Linked DNA regions of Rhinolophus ferrumequinum. The protein of the gene in region 1 interacts with the protein of each later gene in a pairwise test. Links are inferred from orthologs where the notes say so. Each region holds a gene or a part of one and is shown in the gene's direction. Other genes may lie near its edges.

Region 1 (6,845 bases):
TACCCAAGAGAATTTAAAACATACTTTACACAAAAACACATACATGAAATGTTCATAGCAGTATATTCACATGAGTCAAAAAGTAGAAACAGCCCAAATACCCATCAACCGATGAATGAATAAACAAAATGTGGTATGTACATACAATGAACTATATTATTCAGTAATAAAAAGGAATGAAGTACTGATACATGCTACAACATGTATGAATCTTAAAAATATTATGCTTAGTGAAAGAAACCAGACACAAAAGGCCACATATTGTGTGATTCTATTTATATGAAATATCCAGAATAGGCAAATCAGTAGAGACAGATTAGTGTCTCTGTTAGAGTAGATTAGTAGTTGCTAGGGGATAAGAAGAAAGGGGAATTGTAGGTACAGGGCTTCTGTTGGGGTGATTAAAATGTTCTGGAATTAGAGTGTGGTAATGGTACACAACTTTGTGACATTAAAAATCACTGAATTGTACACTTTAAAAGGATGATTTGTATAGTATGTGAGCTATATCAATAAAAATTAATTATCCTTTTAAAAAAGTGAAAGGAAAGAAATATCTTTATGGATAAGAAATAAAGAGTAAATATGAGTTAGGGAAACATGAATATGACCTGACTGATGACAGGTGCAGAATCCAGAGAATAGGTGCTACTTATAGGGCCACTGACAAATACGAAGAATGCCCCGAACAACCAACAGCGTGAAGAACTAGGGATACCTTATCATATGAGAAATGATAGTTCCTGAGAAAGGGCCTGAAAAGGAACAGACTTAAGACAGAATTTGTTAACATCTTTGAATATTTGCTGAAAAATAATTTTATTAATGGGAGACTTAACGTATAACAAAAGTAGACCCAGGGAGTAATTATTTCTGAGAATAAAAGTAGAATCAGGGAGTTGAAAGTCCTAAGGACTTATTTCAATCAGTGAAGATAATGACTGCATCATTTTCACCACAGTTGGGTTTTCTTTAGGAATCCTGATAGCTGGTTAATCTTCATCATTATGATACTAAATATATGTGTGTGTACACGAGTGTGTGTCTCTCCAAGGCTCAACACTTGAGCAAGCCACTTGAAATGCTAGAAATGGTCATTTACTGATATTACTGGTATAGTGAAGAAAATATTTATATCTCACCTTTTATTTCAACACTTGCGTGGGCAGCTTTTCTTAAGCATCAGCCAACTTCCCTGTTCAAGAGTGTACTCACTGCTCATTGCTTCACTGTTTTAGTCAGGACAAGTTGAAATGTTTTAACAAACAGACCTACATTTCTTTCTTTCTCCTGTAGCAGTCCATGTTGGTTCCAGTCAATGGGGTACCTCTCTCCTCAAAGTTGTTAGGGCGGTCAGGCTTCTATCTCTGGCTCTGTCTTCCCCTGGGGCCTGCGGTCCATTTGTATCCCACATTAAAAGGGGAAAGGACAGGGAAGAGCACATGTGAGATTTTATCACTCCAGGTGGAAAGCAATATTTTGCATTTGTTCTGGATAAACCTGATTGGTTTACCAGAGATTTCAGCTCTGATGGACTTATGCCACTGTGAAATGAAGTTTCACAACACAATACCCTGTCAGTTTCCAGGGCTTACAGGTCACCCATGCAGGGAAAGCCAAGTTTAGGTAGGCATCTCTGTTCTTCCTGTGAGTACACAGTAAGCACATAAATTTTAATATTTACATTCTTTTATTTTTCCTGAGATCTTTAATGAACCACTTCTGATCCACTGATCTATTTTCGTGAACTGCAACATAATGACAACAATGACAAAAGCATATTTAACAAGCAAAAGCAGTAACATGCAAATGATGTGGAAGTGCCTTAGCCAAGAGGAATGGCATCCAGTTAAGTAGCACTTACTGAGACAAATTGAATGAGAAGACAATTTAAGCATATAACAATTCATCACAATCATCAAGCAACGATCAATGGTCAAGCAGTCTGCAAGAAGCAGCATGGTGCCATCTGCTAAATTGGCTCGCCACATTCAGATTTGGCCCATAGGAGCCCAAAATAAATTTAGACACTTTATTATTTACATAGACAGCAAAAGAAAGGTCAGCGTGGTATCAGCTCCCTGTGTTCCTAGTCCCACAGGATGACACCAAACAGAAAGTGCTGGATGAAGGATGACAGGAACCAAGTTGCTCTGTTGTTGAGAAGCAGGGCAGGGTCACCACTTGCAGAAATCTGAGAGTAAGTGCCCTCTTAAATTTTAAATTTGATGGAAGTTTGCAGCTGTATCTAAGGGATGGGGGTGGAGGGACTCAAAGCAGAAAGTTCTGTGTTCAACTGAAACTAGGAGATAGATGAGAAATGATGTGTGTCTGACTCCTCCAAGGTAAAGATGAAAAATTGCCTCAAAATGGCTCCACGTCCTCCTGATGTCCCCTTGCTCCAGGAAGAGTTTCCGGCCATTCAGAGCTGTTATGCCTTGCCTACACAGCCTTTGTGGAGGCATTCAAACTTGCTAGCATGCCACGGCAGAGTTCTTCTCCTAGAGACCAATGTCTGAAATAAGAAGACAAAGTTTAATTTACTGCTTCCTATAATAAGGGAAAGCTCTGCAGGTCATGCACAGGCTCTCTGAGCAAAGCAAACTGCTGATCTTACATCGAGGTTCTGGGCAAGGTAGAGTTCAGGGACTGGCGAACCTGCAGAGGCATTAAAGATTGATATGACCTGTAAGAAGCTGGTTGTTGGCACCCAGAGGCATTGGCACTGGGCTGTTTGTGACTGGTACAAGTGAGGTCTGTCTTTGACAGATTGGATCCCTTCTGACTGCTACTTGTTTCCAGGGCTTCAAGGCAATTGGCATTTTCACAGGAGCTGGAGCCTGTTTTGAATTCCAAGAAGTGAAAGAATATCTATGAAAATAGTCCTTAATCATTGTTAAAATTTGTGGAACACCAGTGAACAAACTCATTCCGTTGTTCTTTTCCTCTGAAACTTCCAGACTGCCCTCGGACCACTTCGCAGACTGTGGAGACCACCAGAAGCCAATCACATCTAAAAGTCCAACCTGAACTTTTAGAGAAAAGGGTTTGAGCCTTGTTTATCTTTAGTCACCTGCCTAGACCTGGCCCATAATAGGTGCACAATTCATGAATGAATGCAGTATTAGAAGTCACAAGCCTAAGGAATGGCAGAAGAAGAAATATGAGGACTGGGCAGAAAAGAAACTCAGGTTTCACTAGGTTGCCATACGACTGTTCTGTAAATACTCAGTTCATGTCAGTAGGTGAACATTTAGGTGAAATGCATGATGCATGGATTTAATATTCCAGGTTTGTGTCATATCACGTAATTGTCAGGACCCCATATATCGGTCCCTGTTAAGGATCATGAAGATGAAAATTGTGATAAGGACAGCTCCACAACTTAGTGAACTCAGAATTTGCCCAGAGAAATCGGGTTTGCAAACCTCCACTTGCTGGCAATTCCACCCATTTTCCACTGTCCTCCTAGATCTGCTTTGTGATGGGAGCAGGTAGGGAGCCAATAAATAGAAAGAGGGATCAAATGTACGGTGATGGAAGGGGAGCTGACTCTGGGTGGTGAACACACAGTGTGATTTATGGATGATGTGATACAGAATTGCACAACTGAAATCTATGTAATTCTACTAACAATTGTCACCCCCAATAAATTAAAAATAAATTAAAAAAAAAAAAAAAGAAAGAGACGACGAACTTTTGCAGACGCGGAGCTGGGGTCAGGGGGAGCAGGAGGGCGGCGACGTAGTGTGCGCGTCGGTGCGGGGGGGGGGGGGGGGGGGGCGGCCGGGAGGCGGGAGGCGGCGCTGGGCTCCCATTGGCCCCGCGGGCGCCCCTCCTCGCGGGGCTGGACCGGTGCGCAAGGAAAAGTGGCATCGCCCTGCGGCGGCTGGCGGAGGCGACTTCAGCGACCCGGGAAACATGGCCGAGTATACGCGGTTACAGAACTCTCTGGCGCTGATTCGCCTCCGAAACCCGCCGGTCAACGCGATCAGGTAACGGGCTCGGTCGCCTCCAGCCTGGGGACAGCGGGGCCTTCCCCGCCTGCTTGCTCAGGAGGCTTTGACTCTCCCCTCCTGGTTTAAACGGAGAAAGACACTGACTCAAATTGAACGATGGCGTTTGCCAGGGCCTTTTACATAGGTCAGCTTGGTGAATCGTCGCAGAGAACTTTCATGCCCATTTCGCTGGGGAGGAAACCAAGGCTGAGAGGCAGACAGATGGCTACGAAGCGGGGGAGCTGGACTCGAACCGGGTCTGCGCATGCCAACTTCGTGCTGAACCCTTCTGCTTGCTTGCAACTTTGACTTATGTGGCCCACTTTGTGTTCCAAAGGTCTTAGTGCAATGCTGGCTGGACCTTGATCCCTCATTTCTCAACCTGGAGCCCAGGCAACCCTTACATGTGTGACTGAAAGCTTTAGAAATCTGACCGTGTGGCTTCACATTTTAAAAAATCAGTAAAGGTCCTCATTGCCAACGCAGTGAGGAAAAGAGAATTGAGCCCGGGCCCAGAAAATGCAGTCGTATCTCCTGATCTGTTTAAACCTCAAGGCCTTAGTGCTTCAGTAGAAGAGTAAGAGTAAGAGTAAGATTATTAAATACCATTTTCTGAAAAACTGTGCACTTTATCTTTTATTTCACCGTGGAATACCTTTCTTGTTAAACTCTCTTACCCCAGATTTGTACAATGCACTTACAGCATTACTTTTAAAACTGAGATTAATGCTGCTTTTTGAAAATTAATGAAGTTATTATATAGATTTGGTCATCCCATATCTCTGAAAAAAGTATATGATCGATCAACCTAGGAAAGAGCCACCCATCCACAGGGAGGAAAATTAGTAGAAGTTGTAATTTACGATGAATATATACAGTATAGAGAGAAAGACCTTTGGTTAAAATTCTTACTATCACATGCTGCTGGAGGAAAAAAAAAAAAGGCGAAATGAGACCTGCTAATTTTAACTAATTTTAACTGAATTTTTATCCTATCATCCGATTTGATTTTATCATTTGTATTAATATTATAATTCTCATTTTTAATACGAATTATTACATTGAATAATACAAAAGAATTGCAGAAATAAAATCACACAAGGATGATCATTTACTTGCCATTCTCAGAAAAAAGTAAAATATTCGTTATTTTGATTTTGATGAAGAAAAACATAAGTAATATAATTACATACCCATTTTGGACGTGTCTATATTCTCATTAGAATTATTAGATATTAGGACCGTCTGCCTCAACCTCTGCCCATAATGGGAAACCATGTCCATCAGGAACTTGAGGGGGGATGTTCTACACTCTAATACCCATAACTAGGGATATTTTCTTATAATTATTTTTTAAAGTTTATAGTATTTAATCCACCCTCCACTGACCTTGCAGGAGAAATGTTACTATCTGCCTCATAAAAGTTGTTGTGAAGTTTAAATGCTAGAGATTATAAACTGGCATTTAATAGCTGTTAGCTATCATTATTTCTGTTAAGCAGAGGCCTGTTACAAGCCCCTACCACGGGCTCTGCTGCTCAGGATTCATTTCAGATTTATTACAATTTCCCCCACTTGGGAATAAATACTTTCCTGCCCTTTTTTCTATCTGCTTCTGAAGTTCTGTTTTAGGTAGAGGTGTACATCCCAGCACGTTCATTCAATTTAACAGGTTCCCGATTTTTTTTTTCTTTGTACTTTTTCTCCTCCTTTCTTCCTTCCTTTTCCTTGTACTGTTTCTAATTTTATGTGGAAAATTATCTCTTCCTAGATCACTAAGAGATTCTTATCTGAAGAATTTTTGGGCCCAAACACATAATTTAAATCCTTTGCTAGTTTAGCAAGTCATGTTTCCTTCAATTCAGATGAATGCTAACCCTCTTTACAAGTGTAGGACATGCCTGATTCCTAGGCCTATCTCTCAACTCAATGGCTTTCACACTTTTTTTTATTGTCATTTCACATGGAAACCACATGTTTTACAAAGCAACCTAAACACACACACATACAAATATATAACCGAAAGCTAAGTTTCACAAAACAAAACTTATCTTTACGTGTTATATAGTTCGATATATTCTATTTTCTCCTCTTTTCTATTTCTTTGTTTTAAAAAATGCTGGTCACAAGCCACAAACTTCATTTGATGGCATTCAGTTTAAAAATAAAAACTGTCACAAAAACCATATAGTCACAGAAGCTAAAGAGTTTTGGTCAGCACTCTTTAACTGTTATCTTTATTCTAAACTCCATTCCTTCATACCTGACAATATTAAGAGGACAAAACAATTTCTTAACCTCTGTGACCTTGACATTGCTACCAGGCTGTGGTCCCTTTCACTAGACTTGAATCTAGTAAAGTTGTATCTATTACAGCCATTTTCATTTTTCTTTATGTCCTGTATTTGATTTTGACAAAATTAACAAGAACATAAGAAATAGAGTAGGGGTTGGATGAAATGGGATAAACCACCCTCTTCTCCTCAGTGGCACTGATTAAGCTCATTTTGGCTAATTTTTACCCAAAAGGAAATATGTGCCTTTTGGACTTCTCAGTATTATGGATGGTTCAGAATCTGTTTTTTGTTAACCAGTGTATTTCTAATTAACCAGTCGAAGACAAGAGGTTTTGTTTGATTTCATCTAGTTTAACTGATGAAAAGTAACAAGGTGAAAGGGGATTATCGTATACAAGGGCAAGTATCTCCCTTATTCCGTCAGGTTTTAACTCAGAGTTGCTCGTCTGACCAATCTGGCTTTTTTAGAAGTTTGCTGGTTTTTTTCATTTGTATTAATATTCTTTTTCCCACGCTATATGTTAAAGAACAGACATTGTACTCAGAATTC
Region 2 (6,969 bases), on another chromosome or scaffold:
ATTGAAAAGACAACAACTTGACTTGGAAAAAAGTCCTGGAAGTACACACTGTTCCCCAATAAAGTCCTGTTCCCCTTCCCCAATAAAATCTTTAAAAAAAAAAAAAAGACTTGTACATTGAAAACTACAAAATATCGCTGAAATAAATTAGACAGAAATAAATGGAAAGATATCCTGTGTTCATTGATGGGGAGATTTAATTTTTTTAAGCTGTCAATACTACCCAAAGTGATCTATAGATTCAATACAATCCCTGTTAAAATCCCACCCATTTTTTTTGTTTGTTTGTTTGTTTTAAGGAGGGCACAGCTCACAGTGGCCCATGAGGGGATCGAACTGGCAACGTTGGGGTTATCAGCACCACGCTCTAACCAACTGAGCTAACCAGCCACCCCCCCACACCAGTGTTTTTGAAGAAACAGAAAATTCCATCCAAAAATTCATATGAAATTTCAAGTGACCCTGAATAGCCAAAACATCTTGAAAAAGAAGAACAAAGTTGGAGAATTCATACAACTTCTTGATTTCAAAACTCATTAGAAAGCTACAGTAATCAAAACAGTGTGGTACAGACATAAGGACAGACATATATAGGCCAATGGTATTAGAATAGAGAGCCTCGAAATAAATCCTCATGCACACGGCTTAATGGTTTTCCACAGGGGTGCCAAGACATTCAACGGGGAAAGGATAGTCTTCAACAAATGGTGCTGGGAAAATTGAATATTCACATGCAAAAGAATGAAGTTGGATCCTTACCTTTACACCACATACAAAAATTAACTCAAAATGGATCAAAGACATAAAACTGTAAAACTCTTAGAAGAAAACAAAAGGGTAAAGTTCATGACATTGGATTTTGCAATGGTTTCTTGGCTATGACAACAAAAGCACAGGCAATAAAAGACAAAATAGATAAATTGGACTTCATCAAAATTAAAAACTTTTCTTCATCAAAGGATACTACCAACAGCATGAAAAGGCAACCGACCGAATGGGAATTCTTGAATTTTGTGCTGAGTACGTTACCCATCCAGGTACATTATTATTATTTTTAGTGTGTCCAGTTCTCAGTGGCCCCCTAAGAATGTTAAACCCTTACTCCAGTGGTGCTGCTGCTGAAACAGAACATGTCTTGGAGTGCTCTTCTTTCACCTGCCTTCCAAGCCTCAGAGTGTTGTTTTGCTGCCCTCCATGGTAGCAAATCCTCAGGGGTGAAACTGAATTTTGGAAACAGCCCCAAGTGGTTCAGAGCCAAGTCTGGTAGTTGTTGATTTTGACTAGAGAATAGATGGCTTTATTTATTTATTTATTTATTTATTTATTTATTTATTTATTTATTTATTTATTTTCTGCCTCATTTCACCAAGAAACTGAGGCCTTGGGCTGGTCCAAAGGACAATTTCCTTATGTGGTCTGGAGGCTGTTTACAGAGAGGAGTCCCCAAAATGTTCTGTCTTCTCCAGCATCGTGGAAATGGGTGCATAGTCTCCGACAGTAGATTATTCAAAACATTGTTTTCACTACAAGTGAACGAGCCAAAACCAAGTGCCGTAAGTGAATAAAAGGAAAGAATTTATTAGCCCCAAAGCCAGGAAGGACACTGAGGGAGCTCACAAAATTGAGGAAAAAGCACAGAACCAGGGCCCCAAGGGCTGGAATTTAGGTTGCATGCCTGGCATTCTCCTCCTCTCCAAGTGTCTCTGCCTCTCCTTGCTTGTTGACCTCTCTTTCCTCCTATTCCAGAAAGACCTCCCCAGAGGGCAAGAAACATGGTTGCCACAGCCCCCAGTTTAGTAATCCCAGTTCCATCTATAAATTCCAGGGAAGTTCTCTAATTGGCCTAGCTCAGGTCCAGGCCCACCCTTTGAGCCAATCATTGCAGTGAGAGAAATGCAGTTCTAAGACTGGCTGGGAACTAAGTCAGCTGTCTACTGCCGGTGTGTGTGTGTGTGTGTGTGTGTGTGTGTGTGTGTGTGTGTGTGTGTAACATCTGTTACCAAAATAAGGGGAGGGGAAAGAAAGCTTTCAGGCTACTTTGAACTACAACAAGGACAGTGCCACCTGGGGTGTGCTAAGAATCCACACGGTCTCCAGAATTCTTCAGGAAACTAGAATCTAGTTTGGGAGACAAGACACAAAAATAACCAGAATGCAACAGCTTGCAGTGACTCAAAGACTGGCTAAGAATATCTGGAACTCCCTACCCACCTCATAAGCTTGTCTCGGGCGAAAATTAGACACTTAATGTGAAAAGCCTTTGAAAACACATCAATAACAAAGTCTTTTACAGGTCACCTGACACCTGGTGTCAGACTGCCTTAGCTTCCTGAGCTACAAAATGGGAATGATACTAGTTCTCACCTCATAGGGTTGTTGGAGAATTAGGGATCATGGGTGTGGAGTACTCAGCAGAGTGGTATACAGTAGGTGTTCAACACATGTAAGGTAGGATTTTTGCATATTGTGACCTGAGCCTCTTTAACCACCTATAGGATAGACATGGCAAGGCTAACATTCCCACTTTATAAGGAGGACACAGAAATAAAGGACTTGTCTGCTAGTTATTAGTCCTGCTGGTGATGGCAGAGCTAGGGGAAGACCAGCACTGTGTTCCCAAGGTTCACATTCCAAAAGGTCACGCCTAAGAGAGGCCTGTAGAGTGCCAGGTGGAGGTGTAGAGAGACAGCCAGTGTTCATGGAGAAGTGGGGATGTCCTTTGGGGTCAGCCAGTACCTTGTACGAAGCAGGGTAGGCTGTGAAGGGATGTGCAAGCCCTCTGCCGGACTCCATTTATGCTGGGGGCTTGGAGCATTATGGGGGTTGGAAGTGCGTGGGGCTTATCACCCCAAGCCTTCCTCAGCCGTCTGACACCCGTGCCTCCTCAGGTACCCGGTCCCCACCCCCCAGAGCTCCTTTCCTGTGCGCATGTTTCCCGGACCCATGCATTCTCCTCTATAAATACCAGCTCTGGTATTTTGGGTTGGCAGCTGTTGCTGCCAGAGAGATGGCTGGGTTGACATGCAGCTCCTGACAAAACACAAACCCCTGGTGTGTGTGGTTGTGGGTGGTGGTGTGAGTAGGGGGATGAATCAGAGAGGGGTGGGGTGGATACAAGGGGGCAGCAGCCAGGCGAAGTTGGTGGTGCGGAGGTGAGTGTACATAGTGATTGGAAACTGAAAGTGGAACAGACCCTTTCTGGAAATCACCCTGTTGCTTATAAACTTGAGGCCCCACCTTCACCAGTAGGGGTGGGGGTGGGGGTGAGGAAAAGGGCCTATACTAGTCCAGAGGGAAACTGAGGCTCAGAGCTAGAACCCAGGTTCCAGTGTACATACCTGAGCAGGCCAGCTCTGGCCAGGATTGCTCTCTGCTCCCAGGGCACACTCCCACCCTTGGGCCTGCCTAGAGACTCCCCACCTCTAGGCCGGACTGATGGTCTCCTGGTCTTCACCTGAGCCCTCCCAAACTTCTGCCAGTTCTAGAGAATCTTTAGAAGAAAGGTGACTTGGAGACTTTCTTGGGAAGAGGCCTTGTCCCTTCAGTAAATGATCCAAAGTCTCATGTTGGATCAAAAAGGAGACCCTCAAACTAAGAGGGAGCTTCTCCGGGATTATCTCCCCTGATCAACCCCAGGAGGAGGCAGGCACCCAAGGGCTGAAAGGGGCCTGCCTGGGGCTTCCAAACATGCTCCCAGCCCTGGTGAAGCCGCAGCCCTGATAAAGGCATTGACAGGCCGGCCTGTCTTCTGCCCTCCTAGGTCCACCAGCCACTCCTACACCCCTCAAGGGCCCCCCACCCGCCGGGCTGGGGGCACAGGCCTCTTGCAGGGTAGCTGGCCTCCCCACCCCCACGCCAGCGGCCGCCCTTTCCTGGCAGGACAGCGGGATCCTGCAGCTGTCAGGGGAGGGGCGGCGGGGGCTGATGTCAGGAGGGATACAAATAGTGCGGACGGCTGGGGGCCCTGTCTCCCCTCTCCGCATCCACTCTCCGGCCGGCCGCCCGCCCGCCGCCTCCTCCGCACCGCCCAGCCTCGCCCGCGCCGCCACCATGAGCCAGGCCTACTCGTCCAGCCAGCGCGTGTCCTCCTACCGCCGCACCTTCGGCGGGGCCCCGGCCTTCCCGCTCAGCTCCCCTCTGAGCTCGCCGGTGTTCTCTCGCGCGGGCTTCGGCACCAAGGGCTCCTCGAGCTCGATGTCGTCCCGCGTGTACCAGGTGTCGCGCACGTCGGGCGGGGCAGGGGGCCTGGGGTCGCTGCGGGCCAGCCGGCTGGGGACAGCCCGCGTGCCCTCCTCCTACGGCGCGGGCGAGCTGCTGGACTTCTCGCTGGCAGACGCGGTGAACCAGGAGTTCCTGACTACGCGCACCAACGAGAAGGTGGAGCTGCAGGAGCTCAACGACCGCTTCGCCAACTACATCGAGAAGGTGCGCTTCCTGGAGCAGCAAAACGCGGTGCTCGCCGCCGAGGTGAACCGGCTCAAGGCCCGCGAGCCGACTCGGGTCGCTGAGATCTACGAGGAGGAGCTGCGCGAGCTGCGGCGCCAGGTGGAGGTGCTCACCAACCAGCGCGCCCGCGTCGACGTCGAGCGCGACAACCTGCTGGACGACCTGCAGCGGCTCAAGGCCAAGTGAGCACCCGGTGCTCCCAGAACCCCTTTTCCACGCTGGGCTCCAGGGACCCTTTCCTGCCCCTAAGAAGGTCATCTACTTGTGTCCCCCGAGGGGAGATAGGTTCTGGGTCTCTCCCTTGTGCTCCTGTTCGGCGAAGCAGTTTTTTTGGGGGACATTATGGGGTGGAAATGGGAGACCTTGGAAGACCAGGTGCCCTGTGGACAGCCCCCTGAGAAAGCATCTTAAGATGCCGGGGTGATGTTGATGGGGGTCAGGCAGGCAGATGGGTAGAGGAAAGAGGCCCAAGTGCAGTCGGAGGGGAAGGCGGAGGTTGACAGGAGACCAGGAAATCCGGGGCCAGCTGGGAAGGGCAAGGGGTGGGGAATCCAAGCAGTAGCTCTCGGCTCATCTGTGATGAGGCTTTGGGGAGGGGGTTAGAGAAGGGAATCTGCCCCTGGGCCGGGCTGAGGCTGTGCCATTTCACAAGGGAATGGGTAAGTTAGAGGAAACGGGAGAGTGGGTGGGGGACTGCAGCCCTCAGAAAACTTGGATGTGGGGCTTCACCAGGCTCCCAGTAGGAAAGGGCAGCAAGTATTCATGGGTCCTGCTTCTGAAAGCCCAAGTGAGCAGAGTCACCACCCTGCCGCCCAGGTCACAAACATCATTTGAGCACGTACACAGGCCCGGCTGGAGCTGCGAACCAGGAACACAGAAGTGGATAAAATAGACTCTGTTCCTAATCCCAGGGAGGTCACAGTCTGGTGGGGACATAGACTTCCAGGGTGTGGCTCTAGTGCAGAGATTGGGCCACTTCCTGTCCACTCTCTGGGTGGGCGGGGCCTCTTGTCTCCACCCAGCAGCCAGCTTTCCTTTCTGTCCTGAGCCCACTCCCTGGGCAGCCCAAGGCTAGCCATCTCCAGGGCCAGTTTTAGTATCCCCACCAACTGTCTGTTTCTCCATCTGTCTGTTCCTACCAGGCTGCAAGAGGAGATTCAGCTAAAAGAAGAAGCAGAGAACAACTTGGCTGCCTTCCGAGCGGTAAGCCTCTTTCGACCCCCAGCAGCCTTACCCCTCTTTCCCCCTGTGTGGCCCCTGGTCTCCCTCTGCCCTTCCGGGGTGATAGGTGACCCTGTCCCTCTTGTTGGACCTCTCCCAGGATGTGGATGCTGCCACTCTAGCGCGCATTGACCTGGAGCGCAGGATCGAATCTCTCAACGAGGAAATTGCGTTCCTTAAGAAAGTGCATGAAGAGGTATGCCCTGGGCCCTCCTCCCCAGGGTCCTTCGACACTGGTGAAAGTAGGTGGTGTGGGGGTGGGGGACAGTGGTAGTGCCTGGCTCTGGGAATGGAGGTGTGAGGGTGCTGGGGTGGGGAGGTGCCTGGTAGGGGACTGAAGCCCAGCTGCACCATGCAGGAGATCCGAGAGCTGCAGGCCCAGCTTCAGGAACAGCAGGTCCAGGTGGAGATGGACATGTCCAAGCCAGACCTCACCGCTGCGCTCAGGGACATCCGGGCCCAGTACGAGACCATCGCGGCTAAGAACATCTCAGAAGCTGAGGAATGGTACAAGTCAAAGGTAGGCGGCCTGGCCCCTCCCTCCCCCTCAATCCCAGGTTTGGAGTTGCTTTCTGTGGCTCCACCCACGGGGAGGAGGGTGAGCTAGGGTCTCCATGCTCCCTTGCCCACCTCTGCCTGCATCATCTCAGGGCCCCTCTCTGCCTTTAGGTGTCTGACCTGACCCAGGCAGCCAACAAGAACAATGACGCACTGCGCCAGGCCAAGCAGGAGATGATGGAGTACCGACACCAGATCCAGTCCTACACCTGCGAGATCGACGCCCTCAAGGGCACTGTGAGTCCCTGCCCACCTCACCCAGCTCAGCCTTTCCTGCCCGTAGCTCACACCCTCAGTCAGTGACGACGGGCCCATCACATACCCTCTCTGGGCCTCTGTCTCCTCATATCTGCCACCAGGGTAAAAACAGGTGGATTACCAGTTGGGCTTTCAGGAAATCATGGGGCTCCTATGTGGGTGCAGGGAAGGCTGAACATTTATCAGTTCTATTCTCTGAGTTTCCACAGAACACTTCATTTGAGTTCAGGGTTCCCTGGCTGAGATGGGTTTGACAATTCCTGGACCTGACTCTCTGGGGTTGCCTCCCAGCATGTTTGTGTCGCTGTCCATCTTGGGACCCTAGTGTTTCCCACCCACCCACCCCCAACAACCTGACCTTGACCTAGTCGCCCCTCCCCTGCAGAATGATTCCCTGATGAGGCAGATGCGGGAGCTGGAGGACCGCTTTGCTAGTGAGGCCAACGGTTACCAGGACAACATTGCTCGCCTAGAGGAGGAGATCCG
Region 3 (7,676 bases), on another chromosome or scaffold:
AACAGGGGTCTGCAAAGTATAGCCCAAGGTTGGCTTCCTGGTTTTGTAAATGAATGCCCATTCATTTACATATTATCTGTGACTGTTTTAGATCACCCCGGCAGGCAGAGTAGAGTAGTTGCAACGAAGAGGCTTATGGCTGGCAAAGTCAAAAATATTTACTACTGACCCTTTGCAGAAAAAGTTTGCTGACTTCTGACCTAGGGTACTTAGTCCTTTGGAAATGTCTGCTTTTGTTTCTGAATTTGCTCTGATATCTTATTTCTTTTAATGTGGATCCCCAATGAAGCAGTACCCTAAGAATGTCTATTTTCCAGGGCTTACATGGTTAATACCACCATACCAAAGGCTTTACAAGTAAAAGTGCTAAACTGCCAGTATTTATTTAACTTACAGACTAATATTAGCTCAATATAGTTTTTCTATAGCGTATTTTGTAGCCCTTTCATTCCAATTCTCTATTTATCACTATTGAACACAAGCTTCCTTCTTAACGTCATTTTTTCCCCTACTTTTCAAGGTCATTTTGAATTATAATACAATCCTCTGTGGTGTTAGCTATCCAATTTGGCACCATCTGCAAATTAAATCAACTTGTCTTTTATATCATCACTCAAGTAACTGATGGAAATATTATGAAGAGCCTGCCTCAGGACATCCTTCTAAAATGTCACTGTTTCCCTCAAGGTTCAGCCGGAACCACTAATAATGTTTCAGTCCACCTTTAAGCTCCCACTCTTATAGAAATTGCATCTAGTCAGTAATTTTCAAACTTAAACTGCCAGTCCTTATGCCAGAAGTGGTACTGAATCTGCCAAATGGTTTGCCATATCTGTCATGTCTTCATTTGTCATGTATTCTAGTAGTCTCTCTTTCTTTGAAGTTAAGCTGGGGCCAGAGAACACTATGGCCAATGAAAGGTGAGCGGAAGTTTAAGTGTCTCTTATGGAGTGAAGTTTTGAAAGGCAGTAATGATTCACCAAGTCCCTGTTTCCTGTCTCAGCGACGACGGTGGAAGTATGCGCCGAAAGGAACCTTCATCAGCCTGGGTTCCTGAGCGGCTATGAATAGGAGACTCCTCCCCGTTGATCTCTGTAAACATGTAGCATGAGTGAGAAACACACCTTTGTTGTTATAAGCTACTGAGATCTGGGGGTTGCTTGTTACCAGAGCATTACTTCACCCATCCTGTCTGATACAGCTATTGAGCACCATAACATTTTTCTAGAAAGCTCTTTTCAAGCTAGGGACCATTCTTTTCTGTGTATCTTTTTCTGTATGTATCCTTCATAGACCTTTATCCATAATAGCCACCAATTAAATGTTTATTGCATAGAAGTGAATTGGTAATAGATTAGTAGATAGATAACTGACTACAATATTTAAGGATTCTTATGTTTTTCATCACTTTTGCATATAAAGAATTAATAATAAAAATAACTCCATGAACATCCACCTTCCTGAGTATCTTCAGGATGCTCTTCCATTGAACATGCTGGTCCTCCTCAATTGTTCGATAAAAGGATATTGTCATGATATGACAGATGTATCGCTGTTTACCATTTCCTGGTATTTATCTGGCTCAGCCCAGGTCCACCAAGTCTAATGATGGTAAGCCGGCCTCTGGCCAGTAGAGTAACCTGTGCTAACTACAGTGAGAGTATCAGCTTGGAAATCTGTCAATTAATATTTCTACATTGATGTGGAACTTCAATTAAACATTCTTGTGTTGTGAGAAATTTGGGGAAACATTACATTTTCACATTCCATCATAAATATGTGCACAGTCTTTCCTGTAAGGTCGTTAGCTTTATGGGGTGGGGGAAGGACATGCATAACTTGCTCCTGGTTGTGTGCCTGCATCATTAAAAGCATCAATAAGTATACACAGAATGATATTTTTTTAAAATCTCAGAATCTTTCAGTAATCTGTGAGATGTATAGCCATTTGATTTTCACCTTGGGGGTGAGGCTCAGAAATGTTAAGTAACTTACCCAAGGTCACGTAACCATGAGATGGAACCAAAATGGAAGCACATTCTGACCCTAAGGCATTTTCTCTTTCTTGGATAGTGTAGTATACCCAGGATGCAGTAGAAATAGCAAGGATTCTGGAGTCTGGTGGACCGAGATTTGAATTATAGCTCAACTACTCATTAGTTATATGTCATTGGGAATTTCTAAAATCTGCCCTCTGATGTTTTCTTTAAACCACAATGAGATTTTTCTCCCCTTCAAATAGGTCTTGTATTTTATTTAGTTTCCCATAAGTCCTATTTTTTGGCATAGTGTAATTATTCAGCTGTAAGTACTCTCTCATTGGGGTTCTCTATGGTTAGTTTGAATTCATACTGCTTCAGTGACCCAGCCTTTCCCAAACCATTTCTTGAGGCATCCAAAATGGATTTAGCAGAGGGTTGTAGTCCCTCTTTGAAATATGCTACTTTGAGATCCAATTTTCATTTTGACCTTTCAATTCAATAATTATTGCCCAAGATATTTTGTGTTTAAAACCTAAATGATTGTTTGCTTAAAATTGTAAGAAAAAATTTGAAGGCCAGCTTAAGGCACTTAAAGGTTTAGCCTGCCTTGGAAAAAAAATGCATTCTTCGTCTTGCATCAACATGTTAATAAAGTCTAAAGTTCCTGCATAAACAGAACTTGCTTCAGTGGGAATTATGAGAACATAAAGGGTGCAGGATCATAAATAGACTATATTAGTGAAAGCCATTTACCTGGCATGGCACACAGTTTTATTTAAGATTAATGAAAACCCAATAAGTAGAAAACACTGATATTCCTTCCAGTGGGGGAGTCAAGATGAGTCTTAACTTGATACAATAGAAATGTGTGTACTGTGAACAGAAAGATGTGTGCAATATTTGCAAAGTTATATTTTCATAATATTTTATAACCCAAATTCATATTCAATAAAAATATACTTCCTATCTCATTTTATGACCTTTCTGGAGTTACTTAAAGGCAGTCATTTTAGCAGTAAATTATGACTTTATAAAGAGTGTTTTAATCAGTTTGTATATTGCATTTAAACTCTCTGGATACATGATTATTAAAAATTATATTTGAACATGGAAAACTGCCATGTTAATGGACTGCTGCCTCGTCAGGGTGACTCTAGTTTTGGAAATTCCACTGCAGTTAAATTCTAGAAGATCTGCTAATCTTGGCTTTTCTACAAATTGATCATGAGACTTTGGACCAATCACTTTATCTCTGCAAGTCAATTTTGTTATCATGGAAAGGAAACAATAACACACACTGCATCGTGCTCCTGTGGCGATATAAAGAGAAATTGTATGCGAAAATCCTTGCCCATTTGTAAAGTGCTATTCAAAGATTAATTACCCTTCCTGACAGTGTGATTTGTGCACTTTACTGCTCTTAACAGAAACTCTCTATGATTTGTTTGTATCCGTGCTGGCTTAGGCAGTATGTAAACATTCATTGTCTCTCCTTTCCCGAGCAGAGACCTAAACCATGGCACTGAGCTATTTTTACTAAGATTGTCACTACTCAAGGAGCAGTCGACCAGTGGATGAAATGGGGACAAAGGATTCACTTTAAGACGGGTTTTGTTCAGCAGGCAGTCTTCACCCCCACCGCTCAGGTATTAGAAAGTCTTGAGTCTCTACTTTATAGTAAGACTTTCGTGGAATTGGTTAGAATTAAAAAGAACTATTACTTTACTCAGCGGTAGATAAATGTAGGGAAAAGAGCCAATTACTGGACAATTGATTTAAGTTACATACTTACATTTAAAAGCTGTGTTTTGAACCTAGAGTTAGGCCTTCCCCAGAATTCTTTTTAAAATGTGTTTTCTTATCTTCGTAAGTCCAGGAAGTTGTTTTAAAATTTTTACATATAATTATGCAAATTCAGCAGTCTTAGATTTCTTTCCTGAAACCATCAAATAACACTTCACTATATGGGCTCAGGAGGGTTATTACAGGGAATAAATAGATGCCATTATGTGTCATTTTGCCCATCAAAGAATGCAGTAGCAATTACTACATTATAAAGGGAGTAGACTCAAAATGATCACATTGCATTATCTACTAAAGGCCTGGGAAAGTTGAATAACTATTACTTACTATGCTCAAATAAAGCATTTGAGCCTTATTGATAGAGGTTTGTTCACATTCTCTTCCTGTCACATGTTCTATTCACTTCTTTGAAAATAATTTCAAGATAAGTTACCCTGGTTTTAAAAACATAAAAGACAAATGATAATATCCTATACTTTGGTTTTTCTCCCTACAATGCCTCCAGATAATGTAAGGTTGGTCACAGCTCATGATATAAAATACTAGCTGTTGACTCACAGTTACACTAGAAGGGCCAATTTTACAGACTGCCAGGATAAAGATGATTTTAATTAAATCGCACAAATCCCTTTGTACTGCAACCAAACCCTACACTGGCTGACTGACTCTGAGCCAGTCTGGCTTGTGTAGAGTTAACCAGGTTACAGGATTCCTAGTTAAGTTCTTTCACCAGGAATGCAATTCATGTTTACCTATATAAGGAAACCTGTTCGGCTGACCTGAGTTTGGCGGATTTTTGCGCTGACTGGGAGGCGTGTAAGCACACAGCCTGAGAGGGGGAGTGATTCGGAGCTGGACAGAGCAAGCTTCCTGAACGCTCCAGCCATCCAGCTGATCCCAGGCAGCCTGCTTGGAGGACCTACAGGTTTGCCTCTTCCAGATCCAGATCACAGCTGAGGAACAAAACCCCGTCCTGGGAAAAATGGGGAAGCCGGTGAGTCTTACCGATCTCTTTCTGCTTGCTTCTGCTAAGTGGCAGCCTCACTGCTCACACCCAGGAGGCAGAGGGAGAGGCTTAGCTCAGCCTCTCACCCCACAGCTCCTTCCTGAGCAAACACAATGCTTCGCAGATACTTCCAGACAACTTTCCTGCCTGTTTTGTACACCCAAAGTCCACAGAGGCAAGGATTTTAGCACTTTACACATTCCAGAGGCTGTTTTTACTAGCGAAGAGTTTCTAGACCATCACGATGAGCAAACTTTCTCATGTTTGTTGCACTCTAAAACCCTGGAAATGAGCCTTGGGGTGCTTTGCGAGAAGGCTGAGTCCCCGAGGAAGTAATAGTAAATCTAAGTGGGGTTCTTACAACCACAGGCAGTGTGATATTCTGCAGAAGTGCAATTTGTCACGAAAAAGGCAGTCTGAAGGTATCATTTTTCATTCATGCAGCAGCAAAATCTTTGCATCCTGCACATGGAATAAAGGACAACTTCTGAGACACTGAGGAAAGAAAGAAGCCAAGCTGGGCTCTTTGTTCTAGACAATGTAAAGACGCTCGGGCTTGCATTTTGACAAGTCGCGCATGTCTATTTATACATAAGGCGAGAACGATGAATAAAGGCTGTATGTCAAAGGCGCTGCGGTCGATTGAGTTAAAGTTTGGCTATATCCTATATGTATACAAAGATCTCAATCTGAATGTAATTAAACATGGACATGTGCAAGGGTTTCACAGACCTGCAGGGGCATTTTCGTTCTAGTTGGGACAATTGAGAAAGAAGGCAAAACTATCCCAACTGAGTTTTGGGGCACAGGTAAAACTTTTGAAGAAAGTCGATTTCTTTCTATATATATAGCAGAGCTGTCAAAAGTGATTTGGAATCAGGTACATTTTTATTTTTTTTTCATTTTTATTTTTTCATGCCAAAGTGGTTTCTTCATTGAGTTAGCTTGGATAAATGTTTTGAAAATTTGACTGCTCATGTGTCAAAGAAAGATTGTCATTTTCTGCCCAACACAGGGACTTCGTCCTAGAAGTTTAGGAAGCAGCATTGTGCTACTGACTGCAGCCAGTGGCACGAGCACCCGATTTTGAATTTCTCCTATTAAGAAATTAATTTCTTAAGTTAATTTCAAGAAAAGTACTCAGCGCAAACAAGCAGATTTGAGAGAATGGCCCCTTTTTTAAAAAAAAATTGCAAGTCATAGTCCAATCCCTAGTGAGGCTACTGATTGAATAGAGGGAACGGCAAGTGCTTCTTCATAAAAACAAAAGCTACGGCCAGTTTTATTCGGGGCCCTTGACTTGAAAAACCTTAACTCTTCATAGTGACACAGTTTAAATGAAACCTGCTCACCTCTATGAGATTGAAACCTAGAAAAGCAGTGTGTGTGATACAGTAGACGTTTTAGGAAATAAAATTCTTCATAGCACAAGCAGCAGAACTGCAGAGACTATTGCAAATGTTTTAAAGCTTGTTAGCTCCTAGGTGCTGCTCAGAAAAACAGGAGTCTTGATATTGTGTTGCTTTCAGTGGGAATCAGTAACCCAGGAGACACAAAACACTATTTTAAAATATACGGTTAATAACAGATGTTTCTACCGGGTTGTCTCACCCTGCCGATGAGATGGCCTCAAGCCAAATCAACCAGCACGTCCGCCGTTTTTCCTGTGAGTTGATATGTACACAGTTATTATATACTAATTACATCAACAGCCAAGGGACTATATAACCAGAAAGATAGATAAGTCTCCTGGGGTGGGGAAGGCCGAGGCTAAGCATAGGGTTTTTGAATCTCATGTTTAGAGTTCTCCTTGCCAGGGGCATATGAATTATTGTACATGACTGGGAGTCCCAGCTCCAGAATCCACTTATCCTCGGTTCCTCATCGGCTCATTTGGGGGCAATAATGGTGATTATTGTATTTAACACTTTGGCGTTCATAGCATTCCAGGAGGATTTCTTCTTGATGATTAAAGTTATTTCAGGGTCCGAGCTAATCTGCAATGAAAGATACTTAGGACATGGTGGTGTTGCATTAAGCCTTTTGAGTCACTGGTGCTGTGTGCTCCGGTGGAGGGTTAACCATTCCGCAGCTGCTTAGACCTGTGAGATGGTGAAAGAGTGTCCTGGTTAAAGGAGATTGGAAAGTAGGGGGGGAGGGCGGGGGAGAAGGGGAGAACAACAAAGAAACACCAGTCTTCTCGGAGCCTTAATATGTTCATCTGCTAATATGTGTTGTGATTCCCCACCAAAGTGTAGCATGTGAAGAATGGTTTGCTGCAAACTCACCTGACAGCCAGTCATCCTGAGGAAAATTCTTGAAGACAAAGCCTCCCAATGGGTGGGCCACAGAGCACTGGTCGATGATGAGTGGGTTACAGACATACCCAGAGGTTGAGTCCTCTTGGCATCTGGGCCATCAGACTCTGCTTGGGCTGGCGGTATCCCCCAGAAGGTGATCTCTGGACCACACAGCTTCCTCAGTTTGCCCCACTATATCGTATAGATAGGATCAACTTCTCTATCTGTCAGGATGCGTGAAAGCTAGCACACTGTGACCATCCAGGCCCAGAGTGTAGATCGTGCAAGTCAAAATTCTGCTACGCTGGGGGTCACTGTGAAGAAAAATATACTAATATTTATTGTCTTTCATGCTATGGTGGGATGTCAAGGCCCTCTATATGTCATCCAGTTTGCCCTTTTTATTTAAAGAGGGGTGTGTGTTGTCCTGTTCTTAAAGATCTGAAAAGCTAATAGTGAAGTGTTTTTTTATAAGATCCTTTCTAATATTTAGTTATCGTTTATACTTCCCTTTCTCAAACTGCTATCAGGGTGTGTTTGTCTGGGATTCTCCCACCACCAGTGTGGCCTCGTCCAGAGGCAATG
Region 4 (7,480 bases), on another chromosome or scaffold:
TGATGCATACTTCCCATTTCATCACACATAATTACTTGGGTTGAAAATTAATACAATCTATAATTTTTATTGCTTCATCAAGAATGTTAAGGGAAACTGGCATTATTATTTCCTGTGAATGCTTAGCAATGATGAATAAAATGACAGCTTGGTGACATCAGCTTTACCCACCATTACTTACGCACCATGAGCACAAATATCAACACAGTGAAAAAAAGGCAAATGACACCTTAGAGCTATTACAAAAAATAGTTTTGACCTCATGGACCTCTTCAGTGGAACTCAGGGATCCCCAGTGATGTGCAGATAACTTCTGAGTACCACTGCACTGCACTACACAGCCTCATGCATACATAGTGACTAAAACTGAAAAATGAGGAAGTGGCAACATAAGTACATTTTCAAATAGTAAGGCCAACACCACAAGTCAAAAGCAGATGTACTTCAAGAAGGATAAGCTGGGGACTCTGTCCTTCATAGCAAGCCTTGTACTACTATTTGACTCTTTAGGAGCATGTATTATTCTAATAAAAATCTGCAAAAAATGTCTAAGTACTTCCCCATTGTCAGACAAATAATTTGTTCCCTTCGACAAGGCTAACCCAAATACATTTTGTCCTGGGGAAACTCTTGCCCCTATATGCCAACACACTATAGTCACAGAAAATTAGACTCTTAAAGATATTAAAAGAAAAAGGTTGGAAAACACTGCCTCATCTCATTATAGAAAAACAGATGTTAACTAGAAAAATTTTCAAAATAAAATAGAACGCTCCCCTAGAAAGCCATTTCTCTCCAGGATCTCACAACTCTTAATACCGGGGATGCCAAAAAATGTCTACAAGTGGACACTTTGATCAACGCTCAAGCAGTAGTTCGCTGTAATCAGAAATGTCTGGACACTGATGGTAACCACTTTGAGCACCTCTTATAATTGCAGAAATCAAACGTGACTTGTATTCATCTTTTGTTATCGGTATATATTGAGTATTACAATTTTAATAATTTTCCTTTCTTATAATGTGTACGCATTTTTTTTTTGGTGTATGTTTCATGTTTATCCCCATTTAGAGGCAAACTCTGTAAAGCACAGACAAAATACCATCTCTGCAGATCCAAAACACATGAGCTGCACTGTAAGGTAGAAACTCTTTACAAAAGCTCTGTAACACAGCAAAATATTCTTCCTAGAAGAATTCATGACAGAATTTAGAAGAAAATCATACCAGAAAAGGGGAATTCTGTGTCAAAGGAGACTTCTCTGCATTCTTTAAATTCCGCTGCTGAGCAATGAAACGAATAAGATGGTTTGTTTCAGGAGAGCCCCGAACACCAACTGTAGAGCGTCGTCTGGATTTTTTAAGGTGGGATGATGACTTTCCTGTAATGAAAACTCTCTTTTAAATTGGAATAAAACAAGGCAATCATCAGTAATCATGTCCTGAAGATGTGTGGTGTACCAGCCGGAGAGAAAACATGATAAACACATGGTACATAAATCTAACTGAAGAATTATAGTGGGCAAAACTGTTCATACACGATCAGTTGCACAGAATCTTTATTTTGTCTACTGATTTATTCTATGTTCCTGGAATACCTAGTACTTAGAAGTTATTTATTAAACATAGTTGAGTGGAGTGAACCCATGAACACATTTATAAGTAGCTCTCATTTCTCTTGCATTATTTTCTGCACAAAGAGGTGGGTAATGTCTTGCTTTGGACTGAGAACTTCCCTTTTTCTGAATCAGGCAGTCTTATTTCCAGGGACTGAAAGGAAAGATCTCCACCTAGGCACATGTACTTTCATGCTCAATTCTTCAAGGTAAGTTGTTTTTCTTAGATACCGATCTAAGTACCACCTTTGGCACACTACCCGGAATTCTGAACATATACCCAAGCACACAAAATAAATCTAGCTTTTTAAAGGTCTGAGCGTGATGTTCTTGAGAGGAAAACACAGAATGGTGTGCCACTTTTCAGTCTTTTCTCAATCATGTATTACTTAGTCTAGTGCCCTTTGACTTTTAAGTCCCCCATTACCCTCCATTTCTAAATGCCATTCTCGAATCTAATTCCACTCCCATATTTCTTTCTTCTCCAAGTTAGTCTTCGCAGGTGAATTTCATTTCTACCCCTTGAAGATTAGCAGGAGCCAATTTTCTGTTTGTGATTTTGAAGAGGCATACCCCAACTTCATGTAATACTTTCTCCACTGCTCAACTTTCTCTTATTTTTGCCATATGTGACCACAAACGTGTCTTACTATTTATAGTACATTCCTGTATCCTATGTGTCCAGATCCAAAAGTGATTTACACACAGGTTCTCTTCCAGTCTGGACACAAAGCACAAGTTGGACTCAGGAACATTGTGCTAGGTGCCCTGGGACACCTGCATGGTCTCCTGCTATGCTGGATGAATTGTGCATGTTCACATAAGTCTCCCCGATCAAGCAAGTTTGCAGTCAATTAATTTAAATACATAAGGTAACAAGACAGACAGAGAGGGTAAATGAACAAAATTGAGCTAAAGTAATTTTTAAGCATTGCAATAGAAAGACAACGTCTCTTACCTGAAGAGTTCTTTACAAAGCTTTCAGGTGTAATTCCCAACTGCTCTACAGTTACTGTGGAAAAGTCCAAAGGTGATTTAAAAGTATCTAGTGTGCAATCATTAGGAGTCGCCTCAGCTGCATGCTTCTGAGGAGTGACAAGCTTTTTGTTTCCCAAAATGAAATTGGTGTTTTCTGAAACAGACATGTTGTAGGGGGCTAAGCATCATTATCAAGACCAATACCTAAACTTTAAATTTCAAAAGGAGGCAACAGATCACTACATACCAATATTATTAATAGCAGACTCCGTGGTTTCGGGGAGCTCGCTGACTTTTGAATCGGTATCCATCTGAAAAACACAGAGGAGAGAAAAAAGAAAAATAACCCACCCCCAAGCTTAACGTGGTTCCATCAAGATCCCCATTCAAGACTCAATTCTAATACAATCTCTACTGGCATGAAAATAGATGTCGAGAGTACTTTTTGGAGCTCAAATTAGAGATAAACTGCTGTTCGGGATGAAACAATGCAGACCCCATACTATAAACCATGGCTTTTCAACCTTCGTGAACACTTGAAGCATCGGGGTACCCAGCTAAAGACGCAGCTGGGTATTCCCAGATATTCTAATTCAGGAGGTGTGGCTGGGCCCCAGGGGCCTGCATTTTAGAAAGCACACGGGTGGTCCAGCTCAGGTCGCAGGAAAACCACTTATTTCCGTGGGGCCGGATAAACAGAACACACTTCTGAGAAACACGCCGATGAAGTCAAACCAGGGCACTTGCCTCACCTCTCAGTCCCGCAGTTTGGCTCTCCTCCCGCTTGGGTTTATTCTGAACGCTCCGCCGCACTCGACTATTGCGGTTGCTCTGCCTTCTAGAGCACGGCTCTTTGGTCCTGAAGGGTTAGCTCGAGAAAGTAACTGCTGGCCGGCAAGCCAGCCACCGGGGGCTGCCTCTTACCGTTCACCGACACCCGGAACACGCAGTACGCGGTACCTACACTTCAGCTCAGCACTCCTGCCACCCGCCGCGGGATTCAAATAGCCGGCCCCGCCTCCTCAGCGTCTCGACGTTACTCCACGAATGTGTACGCCGCCGCCACCCGCACGTGTCTGAGAGCACCCAGAACCCTCCCAGGCCTCTACCTCGCCGTCCCAGGAACAGGAGCTTCGTGGACTCTGGGAGAAACCATTGCTAGTTGTGGGTGCGCACTGACCAAAGGGATCAGCTGCGAACCTGTGTCCACAGGGACTATTTTCTGTGAGAGTTCCGCGTAGGAACCCTTCGGTTGGCACTTTGAAGCCGCCTCCCGTCTTTCGATTGGATGCTGCAAACTTCGAAAAGAATAATTTGACCAATCCTGACAGAACGACGGGATGGCTCTAACCCAATCAGCCATCCCTACGGCAGCCGTTCCCTCTGTGGGTTGAGCGATTGGATGGGTTGCAGCCGGGAGTTGCCGACTGGTGTGGGTCACTTCTCGCGCTCCACCTCTTTCCCTCAAACCCTGCCTCCGCCTGCAGAGGAGCTCTACCTGGTTTTGGGTTTGCGCCTGCTCAGTAACGCTTTAAGCCCGCCGTTGGGCTCCAGGTTCTGCTCTGATTGGCTGATGACCCTTCTCGTCTGCCAGACTGCAGCCTCTCTTCCCTCCCTCCACCTGGGTGGGTTAGTATGAGCCCACCCAATGCAGGGTGCTGATTGGTTGAGTGCTGGCCGATGCTGCCGGTTGATTGGTGGAGCTTAGAGTCACTCTGGGAGAGGTGGGGGAAGGGCTCCAGGATGACTGAGGAGCCCAGGGGCGGGGTGGACAGGAGGACCGGCCAACCCTGGGGTGTGGGACGGAAAGTGCGTGCGTGTGTGTGTCTGTAAGAGAAGGAAGGTGGCGAAGGGAGGAGATTTCGAGTGGGAGGAGGGAGGGGAAGGGCGGGAGAAGAGAAAGGTGGGAGGAAAGCCAGGTGGGAGGGTGGCGACTCACTCAGGACCCAGTGGGGGCAGCGCGATGAGGCGGGTGACCCTGTTCCTTAATGGCAGCCCCAAGAATGGAAAGGTAAGGGGGTCCGGAGGAGGCGAAGAGGGCCTCGCTGCTGGGGGCGTGGGCAACGGAGTGCGGAGCGGGCTCTTAGGGCAGAGGGCTGAAGTTGGGGAGAGGGGTTGGGAGGTGGACGTGCGCCGGTGTGGGGTGCGTTTAGAAGGTGAACATCGGGTCCCCGCGGCTTCCTCCCAACCCCGGGATTTCTAGCTGGAGCCTCTTTTACTCCCCAGTCGCCCCAGGAACTAGCGCAGGTCAGCTTGTGCTTGATCTTTACAAGTCCAGGTATGGGGCGGGAAGAACGCAGGTTACGGAGGGTCGCTGTCACCTGATCGCTTGATACTGAGCGCTCTTCCCACCTCCTCCCGGAAGACCCCGCTGCCCCCCTCCCCTGACTACTGAGGCCGCTTATTTCCACCTTCGTGCTGACTAATGCTCTGCTCCAGAAAAGTGGTGGATACAACTGAGGCATGTAAGGTTGACCGCGTAAAAATTAAACTCTTTATCAGTGGATAAATGAAATATTCTTCTGGGTCGCATAGAGGATTGAAAATTAGGGACATGAGGTCCCCCGCCGCCACCAAACTTCTGTACTCTGTTATTTCGCCTTATTTTAGCTCCTTAGAGGACTCTGACAATAGGCCAAAATGGATTGATTTGACATTACTCCTTGCTGTGTTAGGCCTTTGTTCAGGGTGTGGTATTAAACATTTTTCCAACGCCAGAACAAGCCAAAATGAATCCTGCTGCTTCTCAGCTTCTTGCCCCACCCATGAAAGTTGTTGGGCTTCTTTGGAAAATTTGACTGTTCAAGGCAGACATTTATGGTGCGTCTAAATGACGTCTACAAGTAACTAAGCATTAGAGTCTAAAGTAAAGGTAAATTGGCCTCACTGTATTATTTGCTAGCATGCTTTGTCTTCTGCATATTTTGAAAATATTGTAAATTTCTAAATAGTGTAAATGTGCCACGGTATAAAACGTGGTTTCCCAACTATTCTGCAATTTTGAGTAAACATGTTCTAAAAATCTGAACCACAGTGTAGTTTGTTGACTATAATTTTGTGTTCTTCTGGTTTTAGATATTTAATACCCATATAAAACAGAACTGGCATAAATTCAAGTTTTGGGGTTTTTTATAAATGCTGCCTAAAAATATGCTTAGCAAGATTTACATTACTTCTGATCATATTAACTTTTTCTTTCTCTACCTGTTTTGTCTGTTAACTACCACTCACAACCTAAAACTTACATTGTTATTGAAAGATTTAGTATATCCAAAGTTATAATTGTAATATGTTCTCAAAACCAGACCTCTGATTGACCTTTTTCCCAACATCTCTGCTATGTTATTCCATGAAAGACAAAATGTTTAGACCCAGTCATAAATATTTAACTGTGCTATGAATCTCTTCTGAAACCACTGAATTTTGTTATTGCCAAAGATTGTCTCTATCTTTAATAAAAATTTTAAAGCTGTCTAGTTTTGATGAGGTTAGATTTTTAGAGAATCTCAGAAGATTGGAAGACACATCTCAAATAAAGATAAATATGTTTATGTTACAAAAATCCATAAAGCCCCAAACTGGAGAATACTAGTATGATTCAATATTAAAAATAAGTCATGCCATAATCCTTACTACTCAACTGGAAAACATATTCTATGCCAAAGTTGTCAGTGTTTCCTCTCCCTTCAGCTGATTAAATATATATATATATATATATATATATATATATATATATGTATTTATACATATATGTATAATTCTGGAACATCGAATATATATATATATATTATTTGAGAAAAAGAGCAGAATAATAACAGCCTACATGTTAATATAAATAAAGTTTATTTATATTATAGTTAGCCAGGATGGCATGATCATGACATTGATGTTCATGAAAAACATGATGGAACAAAGCACAACTGTGAAATAGAGTTGGATTTCCCATCCACCAGTTGGAATAGCTGTGTCACTCCCATTATCTCTTTATTTACCTAGCTTCAATTTTTGTTTCCTGGTCATAAGAATAATGTCTGGTTTTTCAAATTTCCCTCCTGTAAAGCTTATCCAGTGGTTGCCATACTGGGCTATGAAGCCTTGGGTGGGGGAGGCAGTCACTGCAGGTGAAATCTGCTCACTGTGACTTTTCTGTGTAACTAATGAATAAACAATCAAGTGTAACTAGTGAATGTTTTGAGGTAGAAGAGAGGGCTGTGCATTCTTTAAAACAGTGAGATGGTACACCACAAAGGCTAGACAAGGGGATCCAGGGGAGTTTCAGAAGAAATATTACACTTTTGATATATTCGTGTATCTTTTCACTTAAAATTATAAAATATTGAAACTTGATTGTTTTCCAACCTGGAAAGACAGAGGTGCTTTCAATCACTGAAAGTATCAGCTGGTCCCAAGTCTTCTCAGAGAATGGGCTAATTCTTCGCTGGGTGGTTCACTTTGGCTTGTTGTGAGGTGTTGAAGCTTATAAGTACCAGATTAAGATTAGTATTATCCAGTTTTAACTAAATTAACCCTTACCAAAATGTCAAGTGGCTTTAAAAGATTCCTTCAAAGAATCTGCGGATTGAAGACAATATTAATTAAGCAAACACAAGTAAGCAATGAGAAAAATGCCTGAGCTGTCACTTCCCCAATATAAACTATGAGATTTTTGAAAAATTGTTGGATCTCTTTGAATCTGAGAAGTCAAAAAGTACCATATTTTAAAGACCGTTTGAAGTCCTGTTTAATAAATGCTACTGTGTTTCCCTGAAAATAAGACCTACCCCTAAAATAAGCCCCAGTCACCGTCAGCCAGACGGACACATTTAGTGATGCATTTAGTACATTACGACGATGTTCCAGAAGAAAATGACACGACTGTATTTGAAT

Evidence for each region.
Region 2: the proteins of EHHADH (region 1) and DES interact in binary tests that used the Homo sapiens proteins (3 or more experiments, as listed by UniProt). The two-hybrid records come from large-scale screens. The link is inferred for Rhinolophus ferrumequinum from reciprocal best matches to the Homo sapiens genes EHHADH and DES.
Region 3: the proteins of EHHADH (region 1) and MID1 interact in binary tests that used the Homo sapiens proteins (3 or more experiments, as listed by UniProt). The two-hybrid records come from large-scale screens. The link is inferred for Rhinolophus ferrumequinum from reciprocal best matches to the Homo sapiens genes EHHADH and MID1.
Region 4: the proteins of EHHADH (region 1) and KCTD9 interact in binary tests that used the Homo sapiens proteins (3 or more experiments, as listed by UniProt). The two-hybrid records come from large-scale screens. The link is inferred for Rhinolophus ferrumequinum from reciprocal best matches to the Homo sapiens genes EHHADH and KCTD9.

Annotation. Positions count from the first base shown.
Region 1 is NC_046285.1:60,046,364-60,053,208, forward strand, and holds the start of EHHADH (peroxisomal bifunctional enzyme), read left to right. Parts: upstream 1-3,840; 5' UTR 3,841-3,921; coding exon 3,922-3,995; intron 3,996-6,845. UniProt on the Homo sapiens protein: Peroxisomal trifunctional enzyme possessing 2-enoyl-CoA hydratase, 3-hydroxyacyl-CoA dehydrogenase, and delta 3, delta 2-enoyl-CoA isomerase activities. Catalyzes two of the four reactions of the long chain fatty acids peroxisomal beta-oxidation pathway.
Region 2 is NC_046291.1:16,097,826-16,104,794, reverse strand, and holds the start of DES (desmin), read left to right. Parts: upstream 1-3,955; 5' UTR 3,956-4,050; coding exon 4,051-4,628; intron 4,629-5,588; coding exon 5,589-5,649; intron 5,650-5,767; coding exon 5,768-5,863; intron 5,864-6,025; coding exon 6,026-6,187; intron 6,188-6,336; coding exon 6,337-6,462; intron 6,463-6,868; coding exon 6,869-6,969. UniProt on the Homo sapiens protein: Muscle-specific type III intermediate filament essential for proper muscular structure and function.
Region 3 is NC_046284.1:118,835,035-118,842,710, forward strand, and holds the start of MID1 (E3 ubiquitin-protein ligase Midline-1), read left to right. Parts: upstream 1-4,676; 5' UTR 4,677-4,779; intron 4,780-7,676. UniProt on the Homo sapiens protein: Has E3 ubiquitin ligase activity towards IGBP1, promoting its monoubiquitination, which results in deprotection of the catalytic subunit of protein phosphatase PP2A, and its subsequent degradation by polyubiquitination.
Region 4 is NC_046301.1:41,687,137-41,694,616, forward strand, and holds the start of KCTD9 (BTB/POZ domain-containing protein KCTD9), read left to right. Parts: upstream 1-4,460; 5' UTR 4,461-4,556; coding exon 4,557-4,604; intron 4,605-7,480. UniProt on the Homo sapiens protein: Substrate-specific adapter of a BCR (BTB-CUL3-RBX1) E3 ubiquitin-protein ligase complex, which mediates the ubiquitination of target proteins, leading to their degradation by the proteasome.